2 linked regions of the Arabidopsis thaliana genome follow. The protein of the gene in region 1 interacts with the protein of each later gene in a biochemical or structural test. Each region holds a gene or a part of one and is shown on either strand. Other genes may lie near its edges. The genes, in order: MCM5 and TERT.

Region 1 (11,504 bases):
TTGCTAAATTATCGGGATTAGTACATTACCATTCTAGTTATGGGATAGATATGAGGTTGTGGGTGTAAATTCTTAAATCAATTCACATTTCAAGTTCATAGTATAATAATCATACTTGTTTAATTTAGTATGTCTATATCATACATGATCTCTTTGATGTTAAGAGGAGCATCCAGCTTGGTTTTGACAACACAACATCAAATTTGGAAAAATATTTAGATTTGATGTCTTTAACGTACATGGAGGTTATGAGCGTCTTTATGTGTTTAGCATTTTAATCACCACAATAGTAACAAAATCATCGTTTAGTATTGGATGTAAGTGGTTAAATCTTTGTAAAAAAAATTGTCTTATTCTAAAAATTGTCAAAACCTTGCTTTATACTTGAAATTGACTACGTGGTTTTGTGAATTTAGAAGGTAATAAAAAGTTTATATTTTTGTAATAAACTTATTTTATTTAGTTGAATCACATCTTTAAATTTTAGGGTAATATCAATAGATATACATGAACGACTCATTAATTAGGTTGACCACTTGATCACTGTGCACATGTCACTATCATCCTCTTTTTTGTTTATCCTCTTTTTATCATCCTCTTTTTGACTCTTTTACCCCTTTTCTCTCTTTTCTTTTTTTCTTTCTTTTGTTTCTCTTTTATTTAATTTCTGACGATACAAAACTATAAGAATAATAATGGAAACATAAAATCAAATCGAAACAAAGATATTAAAATCAGTATTGGTGAGTTGACAAAAAAAGAGGTGGCGTGAATGAAAACGTGGATTGAGATGGCACGTTCATACAAATATTATCTAGATATTAAATATGTTAGCATGTTATTATTTTATATAACATGTTGTTTTAACTGCTATTATATTAATTATGTAAGAAATAAACTAATTCTTTAAATTGAACTGATATTTACATAAATAAAAATATATTAATTTTCAATTCTAGGTCGATAAAAGATTTGTTTAAAAGTAAACTTATCGCGATATCATATTTTTTAGCATATAAAACAAATAGATAAATGCTTAAATCATATGATGTTTTACTATATCATCTGATGAATAGTGTTTCGGTCGCATGTGAGCAGTGTTATCGAGCGGTTTATGAACTGTGTCGCCACATATTACGTCAGAAAAAATTGGGCTTCTTTCATGATTGGGGCATTTTCCAAGTTTTTAGTGCATTTAGGGCACATTGAAGAGAATAGACACTTTTTTGGAGTTTTTTCACTATTTTAAAAAAATCAATACCAGTTTACCCCTTATTCTCTTCACCTTAAATCAAGTAGCATGGTTAAGAAATGGTTTTGACGGAATCATCTCGTCCATCGAATTGAAAGGTAAAGTTAATCTCTTTTAATCTTGACCGTCAAATTTAAATAAATAAAACATATTTTCTCTATCTATCACTTTCTTATCTTTCTTGTCAATTTCTTCTCTCTCTTCCTTTTGTTATTTAATTTTTATTTAATTTAAGACATTCTCTATTTGATTAAAAATCATTTTTTATAAAATATATAATAATAACATTTTTTCCTTCATGAAATCCATATTACTATATTTATTCATACTATTATTTATTGTATCATCAAAACATAAACAGATTCAGAAAACAAAAAATCCATATGATTTAATCCATTTGGACAACAATGAAATATATAATCTTTAATGAGAACCATATAACCATAAACTCTAAAATCATTATAAACAATCATAGTTCCTTAACACTAAATTCTAAACCCTAAACATTAGATATTAAACTCTATACATTAAACCCTAACTTCTATATCTAAACCCTAAACCCTAAACTTTAACCCATAAACACTAAGCCCTTAACCATATACGTATACCCTATACCATATACCATATACCATAAACCCTAAATCCCAAACCTTCTTAATGTTGCCCATAAATATTAAGCTTAAACCTCTTATCCCTAAACCCTAAACCCTAAACCCTAAACTTTAAACCCTAAACGCTAAACCCTAAACTCTAAACCTTAAACACCTAAACCATAAACCCTAAACTTTAAACCATAGACACTAAGCCCTTAACCATAGAAATATATCATATACCATTTACCATATAAACCCTAAATTTTAAACCTTCTTATTATTGCTTATAAATATTAAGCATAAATCCCCTAAACATAAACCAATTGAGAACATAAAAAATTCATATGATTTAATTCATATGATCAAAATGGAAATATATAATCTAACAAGAAGCATATAACCCTAAACCCAAAAATAATTGTATATGACCATGGTCAATTAACCCTAAACCTTATACCATCTACAATAAACTCTATAATCATTGTAAACAATCATAGTTCCTTAACACTAAATCTAAAACCCTAAACACTAGATACTAAACTCTAAACATTAAACCCTAACCCCTAAATTTATACCCGAAACCCTAAACCCTAAATCTTAAATCCTAAATCCTAAATCCTAAATCCTAAACCCTAAACCCCTAAACCCTAAACCCTAAACCCTAAACTCTAAACCCTTGATATTAAACCCTAAACCTGTTAAACCATAAAGACTAAACCCTTAACAATATACATATACCATATCACGTATACCCTAAACCCTAAACCCTAAATTCTAAGATCTTCACTTTAAAACTTCTTGTTGTTGTCCATAAATATTAAACATAAATCCCCTAAATATAAACAAATTGAGATAGAAAATCCATATTATCCAATCCATATGGACAACAATGGAATATATAATCTCCAATGAGAAACATGTAACCATAAACCCTAAATCATTGTAGACAACTTTGATTCTTCAACCCAAAACCCTAAATCATCTAAACTAAACGCGAAATCCTAAACAATAAAGCCTAAATCCTAAAATGTAAACACTAGATACTAAATCTTAAACCCTAGACATTAAACCCTAGCCCTTGACTTTAAAGCCTAAACCCTAAAACCTAAGTTTTATATGTACATAATCTATAACCACCACTTTTGATCCATGATAATCTAAAGCACGCTTCTTAACCTGAAAACGTAAAATATTATTGAGATCGATGTGTTCATACACAATCTTACGATATACACTCGTATTTATGTTTTGTTAATATGTAATCGTGGATAAATAAATATAAACATTTTCATAAATAAACTTTTGTTGATATGACCAACAAAACTTGTTTCATCACATTTTATCAACATCTTTTACATAACGTAACACTGGTTTTATGAATAGTATTAACAAAACACAATCATTTTGAATTATCGACCGTCAACACACATCCACCAAACTCTGACCATGTGGTCATTTCAAATTATCGCCTATCACTCTTCTTTGATTTGTTTTGTATTTTTTCCATTTTTTCATTATTTGCTCATGTGTTTTAATGAAAATAGCATCAAACTACCTTTAAGTTACAAATTTATAGTAAGAATATATGTTTGGGTTCTTTAATTCAACTCTCTCTCTCTCTTTGAGGAATTTCCACAAATATTTGGTGGCCAAATCTAAGATTTGTAAAAAGACAAAAATTTGACCAAGACAATGATGGATACACTAAGAGAAGAAGAAACCTAGCAATTAAAAATGAAAATTTTAACCTTATGAGGTTGATTAAAGAATGAGAAACTGAATAAAAATCTTGAAAATTTCCAACTTTTAAGATCTAAGAAGAGAAAGAAAAAAGAAAAATCTAGATCTACTTTTTGGTGTTTTTGATGAGAGAGAAGAGAGATAATGTCTCAAACCATTTCCTTTTTTCATTAAGATATTTTAAGTGTTTTGTGTGTTTAATTTTGTAAAGAGTAGAGAAAAAAATGAATGAAAAGAGAGAAAAAGTAATGGTTGTAAATTATGGTAAGTTTGGATTGCTTAGGTTGGGTTGATGGTGTAGTAGTAAAAAAACTTTAAAAAGTGTTTACTCTTTCTAAAGTGCTTTATTGCGTAATTGAGTTTCAAAAAAGTGTCCAATTACCTAATATTCTCAAAAACATTTATCATGTTAATGACATTTCTGTAATTAACGTAAATGAGAAGGATATATATGGTTGATTTTTCTTTTCTTTTTTATAGTTACTTAATTTTCAAATTATTAATGTTATAAAACTAAAAACTATTCTTTTAAACATATATATTAATATAGCCTTAAATTTTAAGTGACATTGAAGAAAATTACGATGGAATTGAAAATGCTTACAACGATATTAAGTAGCTTAAAAATATGAAATTCTAAAATGTGCAATTCATAAATTTAAGATTCCTAGATGTAGTCCATAATTATATTTTTATCTGTTTGGTTTTTTATAATAAATTAGAAAAAATGGATAAAAAATGTAACCTTAGCTAAAAAGAAAAAGAAAGAAAGACCCAATAACCAACGAAATCCATTTACCCGTCCATAGGTCTTGGGTTCGGCCCATCAGTTTCCCGCCACATTGTTCCCGCCAAAACTCATAGTCGACATAAAGCCCTTGCCCCCACTCTCTCTCTTCGTTTAGAACTTTTTGATAAGAGAGAAAGAGATAGAGAAATTCGTAACGGAGACGAAGCAACGATGTCAGGATGGGACGAAGGAGCAGTTTACTACAGCGACCAGCCGCAGTTCCCGGAGGCCGGAGACGCCGCAACCATCAGTCCCCACGCCGTCTTAACCAAATTTAAGGAATTCATTCGAAACTTCGAGATCGAACAGAATTGTTTCCCCTACAGAGAAGCTCTCCTCGATAACCCTAAGCGACTTGTTGTCCACCTCGAAGATCTCCTCTCCTTTGATTCCGATCTCCCCTCCTTAATCCGATCTGCTCCTGCCGATTATCTCCCTGTGGTATGACTTCAAAAAAAATTAGGGTTCATATAAGCTTTGTATTGAGTGAGTCAATCTTTGAATTGTAGTTTGAGAAAGCAGCTGGTGAAGTGTTGACTGGATTGAAAATGAGGGAGGCTAATGAGGGAGGGGTAATGGAGGAACCTCTGACTAGAGATGTGCAGATTTTGCTCACTTCAAGAGAGGATCCAGTATCAATGAGATTACTTGGGGTATGTCTGTTTTTTTGTTTTTAGTATCAATGAGATTACTTGGGGTATGTCTATAATGTACTCTTTACTCTTGATAGGCACAGTACATCTCAAAGTTGGTGAAAATCTCTGGGATTAGTATTGCAGCTTCGAGAGTGAAAGCAAAGGCGACTTATGTGTTTTTGGTATGTAAGAATTGTAAAAAGACAAGGGAAGTTCCATGTCGTCCGGGTCTTGGTGGGGCAATTGTTCCTCGATCATGTGATAATATTCCACAGGTGAGTTCTTTTGATTCGTTTGTGATTTGAGTTTGTAGTTATCCTTGGTGTTGATTAGACCAAATTGGAATTTGTTTAGCCTGGAGAGGAGCCTTGCCCTCTTGATCCTTGGATGGTGGTTCCTGATAGGAGCCAGTATGTTGATCAACAGACCTTAAAGCTACAGGAGAATCCGGAGGTATAGATTTACATTGTAATGTTTTCGCTTTTTTTGCACTTGTATATATTAAATGCTTCTGAGTTTTGAAGGATGTTCCTACTGGAGAGCTTCCAAGAAATATGCTTCTCTCAGTTGATCGGCATCTTGTACAAACAATTGTACCTGGAACCAGACTGACAGTAATGGGTATCTACAGCATTTTCCAAGCTTCGTCATCATCTAACTCGTAAGCTTTGTAGTTTTATGTCAAATGAGAGTGTAGATTGTTTTCTGGGAGAGTTACACCACAACAATGATGGACATCTTTTCCTACTTTCTGATGTAGGCATAAAGGAGCAGTTGCAATTCGCCAGCCTTATATCCGAGTTGTTGGACTGGAAGACACAAATGAGGCCAGTTCCCGTGGCCCTGCCAACTTCACTCCTGACGAAGTTAGTATCGCATCATTTGGTTCTTTTTGTTTTCTCATTTGATAGCCTATGTCATCCATGGTTTCACAATGAACTATTGAAGTTAACATGGCTGAATTATTGTTACTGGAAACCAAATGCCTTAGGTAGCTGTTGGCTCTATGAAATTCTTTGTGTAACTCCCAAATGAATGTGATGGTGTTTTCTGGAAATATTCTCTGTGCTACTAGTTTACTATGAAACATTTAGGCCTGCTTGGAAGCCTAGTTGTACAATTCCATTTATCAGTTTTGTCTTCCATAATATTACTTTTAGGAGGAAGAATTCAAAAAGTTTGCTGATAGTCAAGATGTATACAAGAACATTTGCACCAAGATCGCTCCTTCTATATTTGGCCATGAGGATGTGAAGAGAGCAGCTGCGTGTCTTCTCTTTGGAGGATCCAGGAAGGTAGGAAACTGTGATAGCAGTTTTTATTTTCTGTGCACTTTGTATACGTTTTTGATATATTTATATACATTTCTATCTTTGATTCAGAGCCTGCCCGATGGAGTGAAACTAAGAGGTGATATTAATGTTTTGCTTTTGGGAGACCCATCAACTGCAAAATCACAGGTTTGTAATGTGGTCTCAGTATCAATGGTTTATAATAAGTGTGTTATTCTTTTTATATTTTCTTACGTCTCTCTTATTTGCTTGATATTCGTCTTACATCCTTCTGTTCAAGTGTTAGATTACAATCCTTACAAAATGTCTGTGTTATTTCCAACACCTGTAGCTTACATGTTTAAAGCTTAATTGCTTATTTTTTTTCTCTCTAGTTTCTTAAGTTTGTGGAGAAGACGGCTCCAATTGCTGTTTATACATCTGGAAAGGGTTCATCGGCTGCTGGGCTCACAGCTTCGGTGATTCGAGATAGCAGCACTGTATGTCCTATCTTCAAGTGTTTTTCTATGATTTGTTTAAAAGTAGTTGCTATGACAGATTCTCAGTTATTTATACATATGTTCATTGCAGCGAGAGTTCTATCTTGAAGGTGGTGCTATGGTTTTGGCTGATGGAGGTGTTGTGTGTATTGATGAATTTGACAAGATGAGACCGGAAGATAGGTAATTCAAATCTGAATCATAGTGTTGACGAATCTAATTTTTCTCTATGAGTAGAATTGATGGAATGTTTTTTTTTTCTTTATAGGGTTGCTATTCATGAGGCAATGGAGCAGCAGACAATCTCCATTGCAAAAGCTGGGATAACAACTGTCCTTAATTCTAGAACCTCGGTGCTTGCTGCTGCTAACCCGCCATCTGGTCGATATGATGACCTTAAGGTTTGAAATCTGGTACTCTCCTTTGGCAATATCATGGTTTTCCCGATTCTTGTTTGCAATATTCTTAAGAGATGGGTGTGTTTTTTTTTCTTTGGATTTGCAGACTGCTCAGGACAATATCGATCTGCAGACAACAATTCTTTCTAGATTTGATCTTATCTTCATTGTCAAGGACATCAGGAAGTATTCCCAAGACAAGGTAAGCAAGGAAAGGAACAATTCTTTCAGAAATTTTATGTAGTTAAAAGGGAAAACAGAGATTAATGATGGAGGTCACTGTTATTGGAAAGTTTGCTTCGTTGCTTGCTTATTATGTAGACATGATTAATGTTTATAATCTTTTCACAGGAAATAGCCAGCCATATTATAAGGGTTCATGCATCTGCAAACAAATTTTCGGATGAAAACACAGATTCTAAAGAAGATAATTGGCTCAAAAGGTGTGTTTTCATTCGTCGAGAAAACAATGTGTTCTCGCAGTTTTCTGTACAAAATCATGACTCTAAAATATAATGCTCTTTTTATGTTAGGTATATACAATACTGTCGAGCAAGGTGTCATCCCCGTCTCTCAAAAGACGCTGCTGAGAACCTGCAGCGGAAATATGTCACAATCAGAATGGTAATTGTCATTTACATTAGATTTGACAATAAGATGGTTAAAAAACAAAGTTGGTGTCAGTATAAAATTTTCGGCTAAACAGGATATGAAGAGACGTGCACATGAAACAGGAGAGGCTGCTCCGATACCTATCACAGTGAGACAACTCGAAGCTATTGTCAGACTGAGTGAGTCACTTGCAAAAATGAGACTGTAAGTAATCTTATTAACATAGAGATTCCTGATTCCTGAAACCTGATGGGATGTGCCGTCCATTGACATTGTTAAATATGTCAGGTCACACGAGGCCACACCAGATGATGTAGACAAAGCTTTTAAACTTTTTGATACCTCGACAATGGATGCAGCAAGATCAGGGATAAATCAACAGATAAACATAACAGGCGAGATGGCCAATGAAATCAAGGTTAGTTGCTTGTGGGGAAGAAAGAATCATCGTATCTCTAGATGTAATAACTAAATTTGGTATTGGTGTGAAAAAACAGCAAGCGGAAACACAGATAAAGAGAAGAATGGGGATCGGAGCTCGATTATCAGAGAGAAGACTGATAGAGGATCTGGCTAGAATGGGAATGAACGATTCAATGGTACCTAAGCTAACATCTTTGTTGTTTAATTTTCAGTAATGTGAATGGGATTTTTGAGGTAATGTGCATGTTAAAATGGCAGGTGAGGAGAGCTTTGTTGATAATGCACCAGAGAGGTGAAGTTGAGTACCAGCGAGAGAGACGTTCTATTGTCCGCAAAGCTTGATCGTCTAGGCATGCAATCTCTCTTCTTTAGTAGCAGCGATGACCAAACAAAACAAAATATTTAATATTATCAAGTTAATTTGTAGGCAAAAAGTAGAAAGAGAAGCTTATGTCATGTGTATTTGATGAAGATTCTTAGTAAACTTTTACGCTTGCTTCAAACTAATGTATTCTCCACCTTTGTTGTCCTTAGTTAAAATGTCACGCCAATGTTAGGAAAGCGTTTGAAGATTGCTGAATGGTATAATCTAGTGCCGATAGTTAAAGTAAAGATGCAGATAGAATAGTTGATAAAGTAAAAGTGTAATCTGAACGTATATGTAAATTAAAATTTTCTTAATGTTGTTATTAGTAGAATGTTGTTACCTTGAAAAAAAAATGAAATAAATAACCATGGTTGAACTTGACTCAAAATGTTCTTCTTTTAAACTGGTTCGGGTTACAAAACTAGTATGTTGTTGAATTTTGAACTGGTTCTGAAGCTCCCGGAATCTCTCAATTTCATTTTGTTCTTGTGTTGTTGAGAGATAATTGCTTCTCTATTTAACATATTTTTGGCCAATTACTTTACTCTATCATGCATAGCTTGGGAAACTCATGGCTAAAGCTGTTTTAAGTTGCAATGAAGAATCAATTCCTTCTGAACTAACTTCTTGGAAGAAAAACAGACAATAAGAGTACCATTGTTTACTTCTCAGTTCTCAATCACCATCGAATTAGATAGATATTTATGAATTTGGATTAGGCAAGTCCATGAAGACTCATTTATTATGGAAAACTGAGCATATAAATGAGCTACTACAGTTGAAACTAGTTTTTCTTAATTTCCATGACAAGATAATTATAGCAGAGATCAGAAGTTACAAGTGATCAGATTCTAACAACATTTCACTGAGAAGCTCTGACAAAGCTTGAAAAAGTTGAGGAGTCATCTTGCAAAAGATGTTGTGGTTTTCCTTGTTCAACAAGAATTCCACGATCAAGAATTAGGATGCTGTCTAAATCAACAACCGTAGAAATGCGGTGAGCAATGGTAATGACGGTTACGCCTTTGCATTCACTCGATATCGTGTTGTGGAGTAGGGAAGCTGTGTGAACATCGATGTTGGCGGTGCATTCATCAAGGCATAGGATCTTAGATGACTTGAGCAAAGCACGAGCAAGGCACAAAAGCTGTCTCTGTCCAACAGAAAAGGAACAACCAGATTCCTTTACATATGAATCTAACCCTCCTACACTTTCTACCGCTGCCTTAACTTTACACTTGTCTAGGATCTCCCAGATTCTCCAATCCTCACTCAACCCAAGAGGATCAAGGTTATCCCTACGAGAACCACAACTTTTTTTCATTATGAAACTGCAGGCAACACCTTTGGTTAGTGAATTGAAGGAGTTAAGTTCTCACCTCAGTGATCCTTGAAACAGAAAAGGGCTCTGAGGAACAACAGCGAGGCAAGAACGGAGTTCTCTTATCGGAAGATGGCTTATGTTTTTTCCATCCACCAATATCTCTCCACTACAAACAGGAGTAAGCCGGAAAAGCGCATTCAAGATCGAGGACTTCCCGGCACCAGTTCTTCCAATTACTCCTACCTGATAAATGAAAACAAAACAATCATGAGACAGAAAAAGTCAATTCTGTTGTAGAGTGCTCTCTCTAGCGGATAGTCTCTTCCCGATAACTTCATATAAATTGTATATGTTGGGAGAAAAGATAAAAACAGAAAAAGTCAAGTCTGTTGTAGAGTGCTCGGCGATACACGTACATGCATTCCTCCTTGGATTGTAAAAGAAATTTGGGTGAGGGCCGGAGGCAGAGTTGAGATGTATCTCATTGTCACATTGTGAAACTCAACTAATCCGTGAACAGGCCACTTATCGCTGAGAGATTGAGGACCTGAAACTTCTTCTTGAGGCACATCCATGTACTAATAACACAGGAGAGCATGGTTCATGTAATTAGTAACACTAACATACAAAAATTACTTAATGAATCAGAATCATTATCTTTATCTTTGATTTCTCGTAGTGCGAATGTAGAAGTGGATAATTTGGCACGACGAATTTGTACCGAACCACATCATATCATATATGTAAACAACATTCCTCAGGAATGGCTCTTTTGAGCTGCAATTAATTTCGGTTGACAAACCAAAAAAAGAATCAGAATCATTACCTGGAGAACCCTTTCAACAGAAACCATTTCTTTTTCTGTTTCAGTAAAACTTGTTAACAAGCTTCCTAACAGAGAAACCAATGGAGCTGCATATGAGAGCGCTAATCCCACCTGTGATCCAAATTATAAATAGTATGCTTTTCACTTTCCTATATATTTATGAAAACTGCAGTTTCTTACCAGTCCAGGTGTACCAAAACTGATTGGAAAGTTCCCCCCGGAGCCGAGGACAGCCATTACAGCGACAAATAAGACAATCATTGATCCTAACAACTGCACCATTTTACTCAACTTATCAGCGATTTTTCGAGATTTCCATATTTATTGCAGACACATGAAACTAAACATTGTTACCAATTCTCAAAAGGTGAATGAAAAATGTTCTACAAAATGTAAGCAAAGATGTATTAGTGTACCTGAAGACGCAAGGAGAGCCACAAGCTTGCGATTATCTCTGAGTAAGAAGTCCGCTGGTATAGCGTCAAATGCTCAATAAATCTACCTACAAAATGCTCCTGTCATGCAAACCGGAATTAGCATACAGTTTTGTCATTAATGGAGAAGCAAAACCTGACATTTAGAAGCAGAACCAAAACTACCTCAGACTTAAAAGCCCTGATAGTTGATGACCCATCAAGTGTCTCCGTGAACGATGCATATATCGGTGATCGTGAAACACTGTCCAACCTTCGTAGTTCCCTTGAAGTAGACCTGTAGAAGACCTGAAGCAATTTTCAGTTAGTAGAAAATTTGAACTCTTCTTCTTCTCTAAG
Region 2 (12,756 bases), on another chromosome or scaffold:
AGAAAAACAATGATATATTTTTGTTGATAAAAAGTAAAATTTTTATGTATTTTTTTCTAATAAAACATAAACTTAATAATTGTGTTACGAAACTCCTAACTTTTGTTTTGAACTGAAGAGGGAAAAAATAGAAATATATACTAAAAAAGTGAAAATATTAATTGTTGGAAACAATTAGGGACTAAAATAGGATTAAAGGGCGTAACGCAAACCCACACGTTGAGTGTGAGGTGTCATATAAAGCAAAATACACTCTTCCCTCTCTATCTATCTACGCATCATCGATCTCGAAGTACGTTTCGGTTTTCAGGCCAATCTCTGAATCTGCGTGACAAAAGCAACAAATTACATATCTCTCTCTCTGCGCGACTTCGAAGATCAACATCCATGGCGGTATGCTCTACTTTTTTTTTGTGTATAATTTTGTTTTATGCGGAAAAGGTTTAGGTTTCCTCTGCTGGTAGATATTGTTGCGATCCATTTGTTTATCGGGAAATTTTCTCAGGATTGATATTTTTGGCTATTGATTTGATTTCTTCTTCAATTTGGATGATCTGTTGTTTGATTGCTGCACTTGCCGACATAATATCTCCAATGCTATTTGGACGAGTTTGATGATTATTATTGTCGTTATTAATTGATTCTGTATCTCTGTGTGATCTGTATTCGTGCAATTATCTCTATTATCTCCTTGATTTCTCGGTTTTGGTTTTCGTTTATCGTAGTAAATCGCGATTGTGTTATTCTCAATTTGGAACCGAATCTCGCTAGCCAATTTACTTTTAGATTCCTCCATACATTGTCGATTAGTTTCCTTAATTGGTAGCCTTCATGGTTCATTCGAGTTTTCTTTTTGTATAGTGAGATGATGACAGTCATCTTCTAAGCCACTATAATATTATCCCTTTACTTGCATAATTGTATAATCTTGTGATAAATCTAGGCTTCTTTGAGTTTGAGCTGATTTGATTAAAATGGGACTTTCGGTCGATTAGATATGCTTGGATACAAAAAGTAGTTGTACTGTAAACATTCTCATGAAACACCTGTTTATTGTTTTCGTTAATGATTCTTTCCCTTTTGATTCTTTATGATGACAGTCACAGGTAAGGTCAGTAAAAGTTGGCAATCTCTCTTCAGGAGCAACTGAGCATGATATTAAAGAGTTTTTCTCTTTCTCTGGTGAAGTTGAAAGCATCGATATCCAAAGGTTAGTGATATTGTTTCCTTGTTCTTTGATTTCAAAATTTTGACATTTAAAGCTTTTTTTGATCAATTAACTTCCGAAGCTTTTTCTCAGCAAATTTAGATACAGTTCTCTTAAACTTACTGACTCTGAGCTTTGTTTTTGTTTTCTTTTTCTAACTAGCAGTAACGAGCATAGTGCTTATGTCACATTTAAAGAAACTCAAGGAGCAGAGACTGCTGTGCTCTTATCTGTGGGTTCACTCTTATCTCAATATTATTGTAGTAGCATTCAACTCTTACATAACACTGTTAATTTAGTAATCAATCCATGTCTATAAACCTTCGTTTAATATGGTTATACTTCTCTAGTCCAGACAAAGTATCTCTGAGTATTTATAAGTAAAATTAGTTTGCTTACAACTAATATTTGGGACCATTTGCAATTTGCATTACTAACAAGGGGTGTTATTTCAGGGAGCGAGTATTGCCGATCAATCAGTCATCATTGAGTTGGCTCCCAACTACAGTCCACCAGCAGCCCCTCATGCTGTAATGTCTTCTTCATACTGTTTTTCTTCTTTTTGATTAGTGAAAAGTATTCATCTCAACACTCAATAGAGCAGTAATTTCGTAGAGGTGTTAATTTGTGTTAATTTTCTCAGGAAACACAGAGCAGCGGTGCAGAATCTGTTGTCCAGAAGGCAGAAGATGTTGTGAGCAGCATGTTAGCAAAGGGTTTCATTCTTGGGAAAGATGCTGTCGGCAAAGCAAAAGCTTTTGATGAGAAACATGGTTTCACCTCAACCGCCACCGCAGGAGTTGCTTCACTAGACCAAAAAATCGGTCTTAGCCAGAAACTTACAGCTGGAACAAGCTTGGTGAACGAAAAAATCAAGGCGGTGGACCAAAACTTTCAGGTAACAGAGAGGACCAAGTCTGTGTATGCAGCTGCGGAGCAGACTGTGAGCAGTGCAGGAAGCGCTGTGATGAAGAACCGTTACGTGTTAACTGGTGTGAGCTGGGCCGCAGGAGCATTCAATAGAGTGGCTCAAGCAGCTGGAGAGGTTGGACAGAAAACAAAAGAGAAGGTTGAAGCTGAGCAACCATCGCAACCAGCACAGTCGCAGCAGCAACTGCCAGAAGGGTATTCTCCGATTCATTCGTCCGAATACTCGAAGAACTAATATCATCAAGTTAAACAGTTTCCTTTGTTTCTCCTTGTTGGTTTCTTTGACATGGAAGTTGGAAATCTGGTTTGGTCTTTGGGATGTACCATATAAGCTATGCCTGGATTTTCCCTACCACTATTAGACTATAGTTTGGGTTTTTTCCAATATACATATTTAATAAGTTGACATTTAAATCTTTCTTTACCCTAAATGTTACAAATCCATTTTGTTCCTAGATTATCAAAATGACTGAAATAGAAATTTAAAGGATCTACCTAAGTTTCGATGATAAAATCTAGTTAAGATCAGTTTCAATAATTCAACTTCCACAGCGAAGAAGAGTTTGACCGGTCTGTTGCATACCTCAATTCCGACGATAGCTGCTGAGAAAGAGAGTGTTTAGAAAGTGCAGATTTTAAATAGATCAAGAGCATTCGATATCTCGAGTTTTTCTTCTTCAGAACTTGAATATAAGCGTCTAAGCCAAGCCATATCACTTCTTCTTTGTATAGTTTAAGAACTGGTCTGAAACTAGAACCAGTGTTGATTCTGCGCACCCTTCTATTTATGAGTCTGAACATGTACCTATCAGTTGGAAAGAAATCAAGAACCGAATAAGCAAAAAAAGACCGAATAACTCAAATCAGAATGATCCAAAAACCGAAATGCTCACAGACATATGATGTAGTTTTGATTCCATACCTGACAGATATTGTGATGAATTTGAACAAAGTTTGAGGATGAAGCTTCCAAAACCGGGACACCTCGTAGACATAACAGTGAAACTTCATTGCAGCCAACAGAAAGATCTGATAGATGTTTAACCTGACGATTTCTCCCGAGTTGATGTTCGAGTCAAATAGAATTGGATGACATTTCGGAACCAAGAAGTAACACAATTTTTGCCGAAGATTTCTAACTGGTTTGTTCTGCCAAGCTACAGAAAAAGTTGAGCTTATATGGCCACTCAAGTACCTGTTTCCATGAATTTGAGGCAAAATTATAAATAAAAGCTGAGGAAACAGAGCCAAACAAGTATACTTATGAAGGAAACATACAGGAGATGAGGCAGACCTTGTGTAGTCAACTTGAACTTCAAATGTGCGGGAATTAATAAGCAAACCCGTCCATCTGACAAAAGGAACTCCATTATCTCCCACAAACATTCTATTAGAAGAACACCTATGTTCTTCTTTATCTTCAAAATTTATGCAGAATTTTGTTTCGTTCATGAAGCAGTTGTAATCTTTAAATCCATGCTTCAACCTGTGATAGAAGCTACTCGCCTGATCTCTTGAGGTAGACACAAAAAGGTAGTCATCAATAAATCTCAGTAACTTATAGCTCGTGGGAATTATAAGCTCTTCCTCTCTACTGCATTCTTTAGAAGACACATCTTTAGAGGCTTCTTCGAGGAATGGGTAGATCAAAGTCCTCTCGAGATGCCCGTAGTAAAAACAACATAACAAGGATGATAATCTGTGTCCCTGAGGTATTCCAGCTATTTGTACATAGAAGCTTTTATCCAACTGCAGCATGTTGTTCTTTAGCATATTTCCTATCCAAACCATTAGATCCTTTTTCCTCACTCGATGGTTTTCTCCCTAGAAGGTTGGACCAAAACCATAACACCGTTAAGCAAATAAGTAAAGAACAACAGGGACGCTACAAGCACTAAGAAAAGAGATCTCTAGAGATTTTTTTAAGTAGTCCAATAGTTTTGTATTTTACCCTCTGCAAAAAGATCAAAAAGCTCTAGGTCAAAAAGAAGCATACCTTATCAACCACGATACTTTGCAGTGCATTATATGGAACAGTTGATGTGAATCTTGAAAAGTTAGAATTTTTGTCACTCGAGACTAGTATTTTGTTTACCCAATTGGATCTCTTCCCACAGCAGACCAGCCTACATCTGTTTAAGATGTATTCATCTTTCAGAAAACTTTGAATGACATGAAGCAGCTTACCCTGGTCGACTGAATCAAATGCTTTGAATACATCCGCAACCACAAAGTACAAAGGAGGAAGTTCTCCAGATTGACTTCTTAAATGGATCAGATATGGGCATAGGTTTCTGTAGAAATCATCATGGTCAAAGACAGAAGACCCAAGAACATCTGGTTCTTTGAGCTGGATGTCCTTCAAAACAGCATGTGTATCACGAAGAGATTGCGACCTTGACGAAGAACTAAAGTCTAACACCATCCTCACACCATTGGCCTTTGGTAAAAATCTAAACTTTGATAGCTTCTTCCTGCTACTTTCAGCTTCAGCATCGTCTACTAGGACATATCCATCAAGGGCTTTGCTAATTTCTTTGCTTATTAATCTTTCCCAGCTCCTTTTCCGGTAATAATAAATATTTAGCCGTCCTCCTTGGCTTTCAGTGGCATAGAAGTTGAAGTGCACCAATTTCTTGACAATCTCTAAAAAAAGCCAAGAAATCCATTTCGTGCACAACATCTGCTGTGTACTTCTGATGGATTCACTTTGGAGTTCATGTCCGTTGACCATACAGCATAACTCTTTTCTAGCAAAGAATGGGAAATCTGATGGTTTCACTTTATGCAAAAACTGATTCACTGTGCATTTCTCATTTCGTCGCCTTGAAACAAACCACGCTATATTTTTCCTAAGCACCCTCATCTGATGAGTGGTCCCAAGCAAACTTTCTGGAACAATGTACCTACAGATGGCCCAAATAAAGGAAACTACTTGGTCGTTCGTGCAATACAGCTTCCTTTCTTCAACACTGGGACATTTGGGTTTTCCCGTTTGTGATGAACTTGATCCATGAGGCAGCTTATCTGCTTTTTGCCTCCTTGAACTCTGTAATACAAGATATGCAAGGTTCGTCACTTCAAGGAAGCACTTGGAAGTGCCACGGATATGAATTCTTATGCAGGTTTGCACTATATATCCAAAGTCTATAAAGTAGCAACTGTGTTGATTTTCCATTTCTAGTTTCTTTTTGTTGTACATATTCGAATATTCAACATAACTTCTCTGAAATAGAAATACTCAAAAGACATCAAACGAAAAACGCTAGGGAAATTAAATATGAAAACCATCTCTAAAAGAAAAATATCAACCTGAGAAGTCGTTCCGGACTTCAATGCATCCTCTTGCAGCAAGAGAACAGGACAGTGTTTGTCTAGTAGCATTTTTAAATGTGAAGACTTTGTTTTTCCTATTAGATTTTTAAGAGACTTGAGCAATGAATGGTATCTGCAAATCAATGTAAAAGACATCATGATATCATTTTCTTCTTTGCATCAGTTACCTCAACAAAACTTTTAAACAAATTCCTTTTATAACTCAGACTACTTAGATATGTGCTCTACATTATCTGAATACATGCTCCAAGTCTCAGAGTAAGCCGAAGAACTTACAAGAATAAATGGATGACTTACAAGCAAATAGATCCACTGGGGCAATTGCCTTTGCCATGAGATGGCGTCGTTGACCAAACATTTACTTCACCAAATATATGGTTCATTAGGAGCTTTGAATCAGAGCAGTTGGGCCTCAAGGTTTTTAAAATGTCTGTATATCATAAGGAATCATTCACAATGCAGAAGAACTGTATAGAGAAGAGTAACGTTTAAACTTCCATCAAGCTATCGTTGCTACAAGTCATTGAACATGTCAAAACCACTGAAGGATACGGTTTGGTGGTATAACTGAATACGTTTCTGAGAGGCCAAACTTGAAATTCTTGTTTCTTTTAACCTGTTTAGCCTACAAAAAACAGTGATTAAATCTTACAAATACAAGAACAGATTGTCGAATTTGAAGGTAATGAAGTGTCAGGAAGAATATTAATAACCACCAGAATACAACAAGATAAATGATACAGTTTTTAAAATACACCAAAGTACAACTACAAAAATAGTCCCATCAATTTCTCAAGGCTGAGGATAAATCAAGAGCAATTTATACACGTCTCTTAGTAATTTTAAGCAATAACTTTATGTTTAAACTTGTGCATTTTCAACTTAAACTTGATTGATCAATATCATTGTTACGAACATTACCTGCTTTACAAAATCAGTGAGACTTCCATTTATACCAATGTGCAGATTCATTTCGTCATTACCAGTTGAGACTTTACCATTTGTACTGGGAGTTATACAAGGAGCATTACAGTCAACTTTTTTGAAATTGACCTTTCTCTGCTTTCGCCGACGCTTAAGATATATTCTTGAACGCTTAGTAGTTTTTTTCTCTCTATGTTGGTCTACATCCTCGCCAACTATGGGCGTAATAGTTGCAGAGTCATCCTTAGGACAGTCATCGACAGCTGAAGAAAGCCACTGCCTTTTCGTTGGTGGCTGAACGTTGTCATCCCTCTTTCTTTTGTTTTCATGGACTGACAATGTCCCTATACCATGGAGAAGGAAAACTTTACTAAGTTAATATGAACTAAAAACCAGAAGTTGATAATCGATAACCAAGCAGTCACAGACAAATCATAAGTATTCAGAGAACCAACAAGAAAGTGGAAGTTTCAAAAGAAAGCCAACAGAAGAGCTCGGATACAAGTTTAATTCTGAGACTCACGCTTATGCTTGATACATAGAGGAGGTCCAGACACTTGCTGGTGTTTTTTCCCTAGTAATGGTAAGAATATTGATGTTTGCTGTAGAAGATAAACCATGACGTCATGACCGACCTATAAACAAGGGAACTTGAATATTAGTGACCGCAAACTCGAATATTGAAAGTAAATCATCAAAAGGGTTTGAGAACAAACCCGCTTGAGAAGAAACTCCCAAGATGAACTTGTCAATAGCTCCAAAATAGGGCTCGACTGATCATACTGTCAAAGGAGACGAGAAATCATTAGGCTAAGAAAATCAGCACTCTACATTGAGTTTGAGAAGGAAGAAGAAGAATTCACCTTATCATATCTGGCACATATCACATTTTGGCAATCACATCCAGATTGCATCATTTCAATAATCCTTTCAACAATCTGATAAACTCAATTGAAGCAAAATGTTTAGAAATCAGCAACATCATACAAAATAAGATAACATAGAGGCATTTTATAAGGAGTAGCCACGTCTTGAAATATCTCAAATTAAGCACTCAAAGCAATGTATAGTACAGTGGGAAGAAGAATCTTACCTCTCTCTGTGACCACCAAGATGTTGGAGAGAAATCCAGAAGCGGAGGGGTTTGTTCGTGAAGTACAACGAAGCAACGGTGAAGAAGTTTACGGTAGTGAATGGGATCATCGGAACGCAGCAGAAACGCCGGTTTATCGCTGCTGCAACCGAGACAACCTTGACCCCGGCATCGGCATTGCTCCGGCTGGATATTCCGGTTAGGAATCAGATCTACTATTGCGTCGTTTAAATTCCTGGCTCTGTTTCCGAATAACCTCCATAGAATCTCCGGTACACGATGTCTAGGTTTACGCGGCATTACACCTTCCTCCTCCTTTCTCTCGAATTTGGAGAGAGAGAAGAGTGAACGAGCTTCGATAATGGAGTCTGATGGTGTGAAAGAGGCGGGAGATTAAAGGTCTTCTGGGTTCTCGAAACTATAAACTGCGATTTTGAAAATTTCAAAACAATTCAAAGCTGAGCTACAAACGCTATCCAAAGCGTCCACTCAACCGCAAACGCAGGTCGCTTAGCACATAAACCGAACCGAAATTCGCTTTAAATTTTAATCGGTCTATTATACTTTCTTCTTCTTTTCACATCCGGTTTCATTACTTTCTTCAAATTTCCAATCTAAAACCGGGATATAACCGAATTGATTTGTTTAGTTTAAACGCAGAAATCACCCGCCACTCTAGTTACAGTAGTATGATCCGCCGCCTTCTCATCCCCAACGCCGCCGCAAAATCTCACCAGTACATTAAAGTCTCTCTCTTCTCGACATCGGCGCCGGAGATAACACCGCCGTTTATTCACAAATGCAAAACCATCTCTCAGGTCAAGCTTATTCACCAGAAACTCCTCTCTTTCGGAATCCTAACCTTGAATCTCACTTCCCACCTCATTTCCACCTATATCTCCGTCGGTTGCTTATCTCATGCCGTATCTCTCCTCCGTCGTTTTCCTCCATCTGACGCTGGTGTCTACCATTGGAATTCACTCATTCGCAGCTACGGCGACAATGGCTGCGCCAATAAATGTCTCTATTTGTTCGGCCTTATGCATTCTCTGTCATGGACGCCGGATAATTACACATTCCCCTTCGTCTTCAAGGCTTGCGGCGAGATATCCTCCGTTCGTTGTGGAGAATCTGCTCACGCGCTTTCTCTGGTAACTGGATTTATCTCCAATGTCTTTGTTGGGAATGCGCTTGTTGCTATGTATTCCCGTTGTCGTTCATTGAGTGATGCACGGAAGGTGTTCGACGAAATGTCTGTTTGGGATGTTGTATCGTGGAACTCTATAATAGAAAGTTATGCAAAGTTAGGCAAACCTAAGGTGGCGCTTGAAATGTTTAGCAGGATGACCAATGAATTCGGATGTAGACCTGATAATATTACCCTTGTGAATGTTCTTCCTCCTTGTGCTTCCCTAGGAACTCATTCACTAGGGAAGCAATTGCATTGTTTTGCAGTCACAAGTGAGATGATACAGAATATGTTTGTAGGGAATTGCTTGGTGGATATGTATGCAAAGTGTGGGATGATGGATGAGGCAAACACGGTGTTTTCGAACATGTCAGTGAAGGACGTAGTATCTTGGAATGCTATGGTTGCTGGGTATTCACAGATTGGAAGGTTTGAAGATGCTGTTAGGTTATTTGAGAAGATGCAGGAAGAGAAAATAAAAATGGATGTTGTTACTTGGAGTGCTGCTATTTCAGGGTATGCTCAACGGGGACTTGGATATGAAGCTTTGGGTGTGTGTAGGCAGATGTTGTCTTCTGGGATAAAACCAAATGAAGTCACGCTTATTTCGGTTCTTTCGGGTTGTGCTTCTGTTGGAGCATTGATGCATGGTAAAGAGATTCATTGTTATGCCATCAAATATCCCATAGACTTGCGTAAGAACGGTCATGGTGATGAGAATATGGTAATCAATCAACTGATTGACATGTACGCTAAGTGCAAAAAGGTTGATACTGCACGTGCTATGTTTGATTCACTTTCCCCCAAGGAAAGGGATGTTGTGACTTGGACTGTGATGATAGGTGGATACTCCCAGCACGGGGATGCAAATAAAGCTCTCGAACTTTTATCTGAGATGTTTGAGGAAGATTGCCAAACAAGACCAAATGCTTTTACCATATCATGTGCCCTCGTGGCATGTGCCAGTTTGGCTGCACTAAGAATTGGCAAGCAGATTCATGCTTATGCGTTGCGCAACCAGCAGAATGCAGTACCGCTGTTCGTATCAAACTGTCTAATAGACATGTATGCAAAATGTGGAAGCATCAGTGATGCCCGCCTTGTATTTGACAATATGATGGCGAAAAATGAAGTTACTTGGACATCTCTAATGACGGGTTATGGTATGCATGGTTATGGAGAAGAAGCTCTTGGAATCTTTGATGAAATGAGGAGAATAGGTTTTAAGCTTGATGGTGTTACATTACTTGTTGTATTATATGCTTGTAGTCATTCAGGAATGATTGATCAGGGCATGGAGTATTTCAATAGAATGAAAACTGTTTTTGGGGTTAGTCCTGGTCCGGAGCATTATGCATGTTTGGTTGACTTGTTAGGTCGTGCTGGCCGGTTGAATGCAGCTTTGCGTCTCATTGAAGAAATGCCAATGGAGCCTCCTCCTGTGGTATGGGTTGCTTTTCTCAGTTGCTGCAGAATCCACGGAAAAGTTGAACTCGGGGAGTACGCTGCGGAAAAAATAACAGAATTAGCATCTAATCATGATGGATCATATACATTACTCTCAAATTTGTATGCAAATGCAGGGCGTTGGAAAGATGTGACTAGGATCAGATCATTGATGAGACATAAAGGAGTTAAGAAAAGACCTGGTTGTAGTTGGGTTGAAGGAATTAAAGGAACTACTACGTTCTTCGTGGGTGATAAAACTCATCCACACGCTAAGGAAATATACCAGGTCCTCTTAGATCACATGCAACGCATCAAGGACATTGGTTATGTTCCTGAAACAGGCTTTGCTCTTCATGATGTAGACGATGAAGAGAAAGATGATCTTCTTTTCGAGCATAGTGAGAAGTTAGCTCTTGCATATGGTATTCTAACAACTCCGCAAGGTGCTGCTATCAGGATTACTAAGAATTTACGGGTATGTGGTGATTGCCATACAGCATTCACATACATGTCCAGAATCATTGATCATGATATTATATTGAGGGACTCAAGTCGCTTCCATCATTTCAAAAATGGATCGTGTTCATGCAAAGGTTACTGGTGATGATGCTCTCTCTATGCACTCTACCAAACACGGAAGCAACCTGAGGGTTTTGACATGGCTACAGCAGATTTCAGGAACGATCTAAAGGGACAAAGAAAGGGATAATAAGCACTGTGTTAAACACCTCATGTAGATTATATAATTTAAGCAAATTTTGTAGATGAATAGCTTTCTTCTTTATTTTTGGTAGATAATCACACTCCATACCATGGGTTTATCTTCAATAAACAAGATCTGTTGTTACATTTGAAATGTTCATATAGCCAACACTCCCATGAACTGGCATTAGAACAAGCCATTTTCTCAATGTGCCAAAAAAGGCTCGAGCTTTTGATACTTCTAATACAAATCCAGCAAAAAAAGATGATATCACCATTGGTAGAGGGAAATGCTACATGCCCATGAAAAATGGGGAAAATGTTTTAAAATGAATATTTCGTCATCATCAGGAACGAGTATACGTAACAACTACAGATTTCTCACAGGTAACCTCGGGCGAACAGAGAAGGTGGAGTTCATGTCTCTCCTTTCTGCTTGGTCCATCTGAGAGATCAGGTTGAAGAAATGTCATATCGAAATTCGAATCTGCTAAAGAAGCTTTAGTCCACCTGTTACTTCATCAACAACTTCGACTGGTCCTGCAGAAGTAAAATCTATAAGCGTTGGAATGTTGTGTTAAGAAATGCTGATAATATCCGATAAACAAATTCTGCTACAAGAATCTCTAACTCCTGGTCATAGAACGGTGCATATGAATTTGGATACCACGCAGAAAGTATACACCCTCTTCTGACCGAGTCAACTTTTGAGCTTACATTTCATATTTTGGATTCTTATGAACTATAGATTCCATTCAGGGTCAAGGACAAGCACCAAGCAATCAAGAGAAGTCATGAACTAATAAACTAGTACATTTCTCTAGGGTAAGTGTGATTTGCAACTCTCAAACTCATCACTTGTCCATCAGAGTCTTAACTTTCAAACACATATCTTAAAAATAACAACTTACCAAGAATAGCCATAACCGTCCTTGAATCTGGAAAGAACATGACGTATTATTAGATTCACATTTTCGCAGAAAATGATACTTACGAAAGAAGATTGAATCAAGAGAGCTTTCTCCCTGGCAATTAACTAGCAATCATAAAGTTTAAAGCACCAAGGGATTTCAAGTTCAAGAGGGGAGGAACTTATGAAACTCACTTGGGGCAATCTGTGTTCTTCCAGCATCAATGGTGATATGGGTAGGCAGTTTAAGGGATTTAGCTCTTTCCTGACAATTTTGTGAACAGTCAATACAAGATATAAGAAATGGGAAAAATCAAGATAAGCTCTATGATATCTCAAATTCCCCTTAAGTATTCATGTATATGGTCAGAACTCAGAAATTATCAAGAAACTAACATCTGGCAACTCCTGCAAAGCCCGTGAAGATCAATTTGGCAACAGCACTAAAGCTGTGAATCCAAAATATAGTTCAATAAAAAAAATCCACTTTACAGTCTACTACAATTTGTTTTAGTAAACTCACTTGCAATTCTAGCATCTCGTCCTCGTCCTCGATTTTCACAACAACTTTTGGCTGTGCACATTCCTCCCAGCTGCAATAGCAACCTATACTGTTAATTCAATCCATATATTAAGTAACAAATGGAATTGATCATGACTTAGAGGCATACCAGTCCAATGCTTTTGGCGCTCGACGAACAAGCTTCTTGTATAATCCTAAAGTTGCATGACTGCAGAAATGCAGACCAATAAAACGAATCAGAATAAGAACACTCAAATGTAAGAATGATAAACATGAATTAAACACTTAAAATAGTAAAAGAGAGCATGATTAGTTTATCACCTGCATTGAGCTGCAATCTTTCCTTTACCCATTTTAAGATCATTTCTCACCACCAAAACCTGAGTATACAAAACTCAATTCAACAATTTTGTGATTCCATAACAGTAGAGAGAAAAATGTAGCTAACTACCATCTTGAAATCATCGAGAATATCAGCGAGTTTCTCAATCTC

Evidence for each region.
Region 2: the proteins of MCM5 (region 1) and TERT form a complex in vitro, tested with the Arabidopsis thaliana proteins (one study listed by BioGRID).

The regions. Positions count from the first base shown.
Region 1 is NC_003071.7:3,520,431-3,531,934, reverse strand, and holds MCM5 (Minichromosome maintenance (MCM2/3/5) family protein), read left to right. Parts: upstream 1-4,434; 5' UTR 4,435-4,546; coding exon 4,547-4,816; intron 4,817-4,884; coding exon 4,885-5,028; intron 5,029-5,105; coding exon 5,106-5,285; intron 5,286-5,364; coding exon 5,365-5,463; intron 5,464-5,534; coding exon 5,535-5,671; intron 5,672-5,770; coding exon 5,771-5,876; intron 5,877-6,170; coding exon 6,171-6,305; intron 6,306-6,392; coding exon 6,393-6,470; intron 6,471-6,676; coding exon 6,677-6,781; intron 6,782-6,872; coding exon 6,873-6,964; intron 6,965-7,049; coding exon 7,050-7,182; intron 7,183-7,285; coding exon 7,286-7,381; intron 7,382-7,530; coding exon 7,531-7,622; intron 7,623-7,712; coding exon 7,713-7,803; intron 7,804-7,885; coding exon 7,886-7,995; intron 7,996-8,079; coding exon 8,080-8,209; intron 8,210-8,288; coding exon 8,289-8,390; intron 8,391-8,472; coding exon 8,473-8,556; 3' UTR 8,557-8,951; downstream 8,952-11,504. Other genes in the region: ABCC13 (multidrug resistance-associated protein 11), read right to left, coding at 9,444-9,879, 9,961-10,148, 10,322-10,483, 10,732-10,842, 10,912-11,004, 11,148-11,246, 11,331-11,453. UniProt on the Arabidopsis thaliana protein: Probable component of the MCM2-7 complex (MCM complex) that may function as a DNA helicase and which is essential to undergo a single round of replication initiation and elongation per cell cycle in eukaryotic cells.
Region 2 is NC_003076.8:5,535,655-5,548,410, forward strand, and holds TERT (telomerase reverse transcriptase), read right to left. Parts: upstream 7,906-12,756; 5' UTR 7,791-7,905; coding exon 7,491-7,790; intron 7,336-7,490; coding exon 7,261-7,335; intron 7,180-7,260; coding exon 7,114-7,179; intron 7,033-7,113; coding exon 6,921-7,032; intron 6,742-6,920; coding exon 6,395-6,741; intron 6,099-6,394; coding exon 6,026-6,098; intron 5,904-6,025; coding exon 5,771-5,903; intron 5,586-5,770; coding exon 5,450-5,585; intron 5,187-5,449; coding exon 4,134-5,186; intron 3,962-4,133; coding exon 3,432-3,961; coding exon of another isoform or gene 3,416-3,431; intron 3,333-3,415; coding exon 3,060-3,332; intron 2,943-3,059; coding exon 2,669-2,942; 3' UTR 2,526-2,668; downstream 1-2,525. Other genes in the region: BPA1 (binding partner of acd11 1), read left to right, coding at 388-393, 1,101-1,210, 1,370-1,439, 1,663-1,737, 1,851-2,372; AT5G16860 (Tetratricopeptide repeat (TPR)-like superfamily protein), read left to right, coding at 8,180-10,732; AT5G16870 (Peptidyl-tRNA hydrolase II (PTH2) family protein), read right to left, coding at 11,321-11,370, 11,742-11,768, 11,936-12,005, 12,264-12,333, 12,412-12,471, 12,585-12,643, 12,715-12,756. UniProt on the Arabidopsis thaliana protein: Telomerase is a ribonucleoprotein enzyme essential for the replication of chromosome termini in most eukaryotes. It elongates telomeres.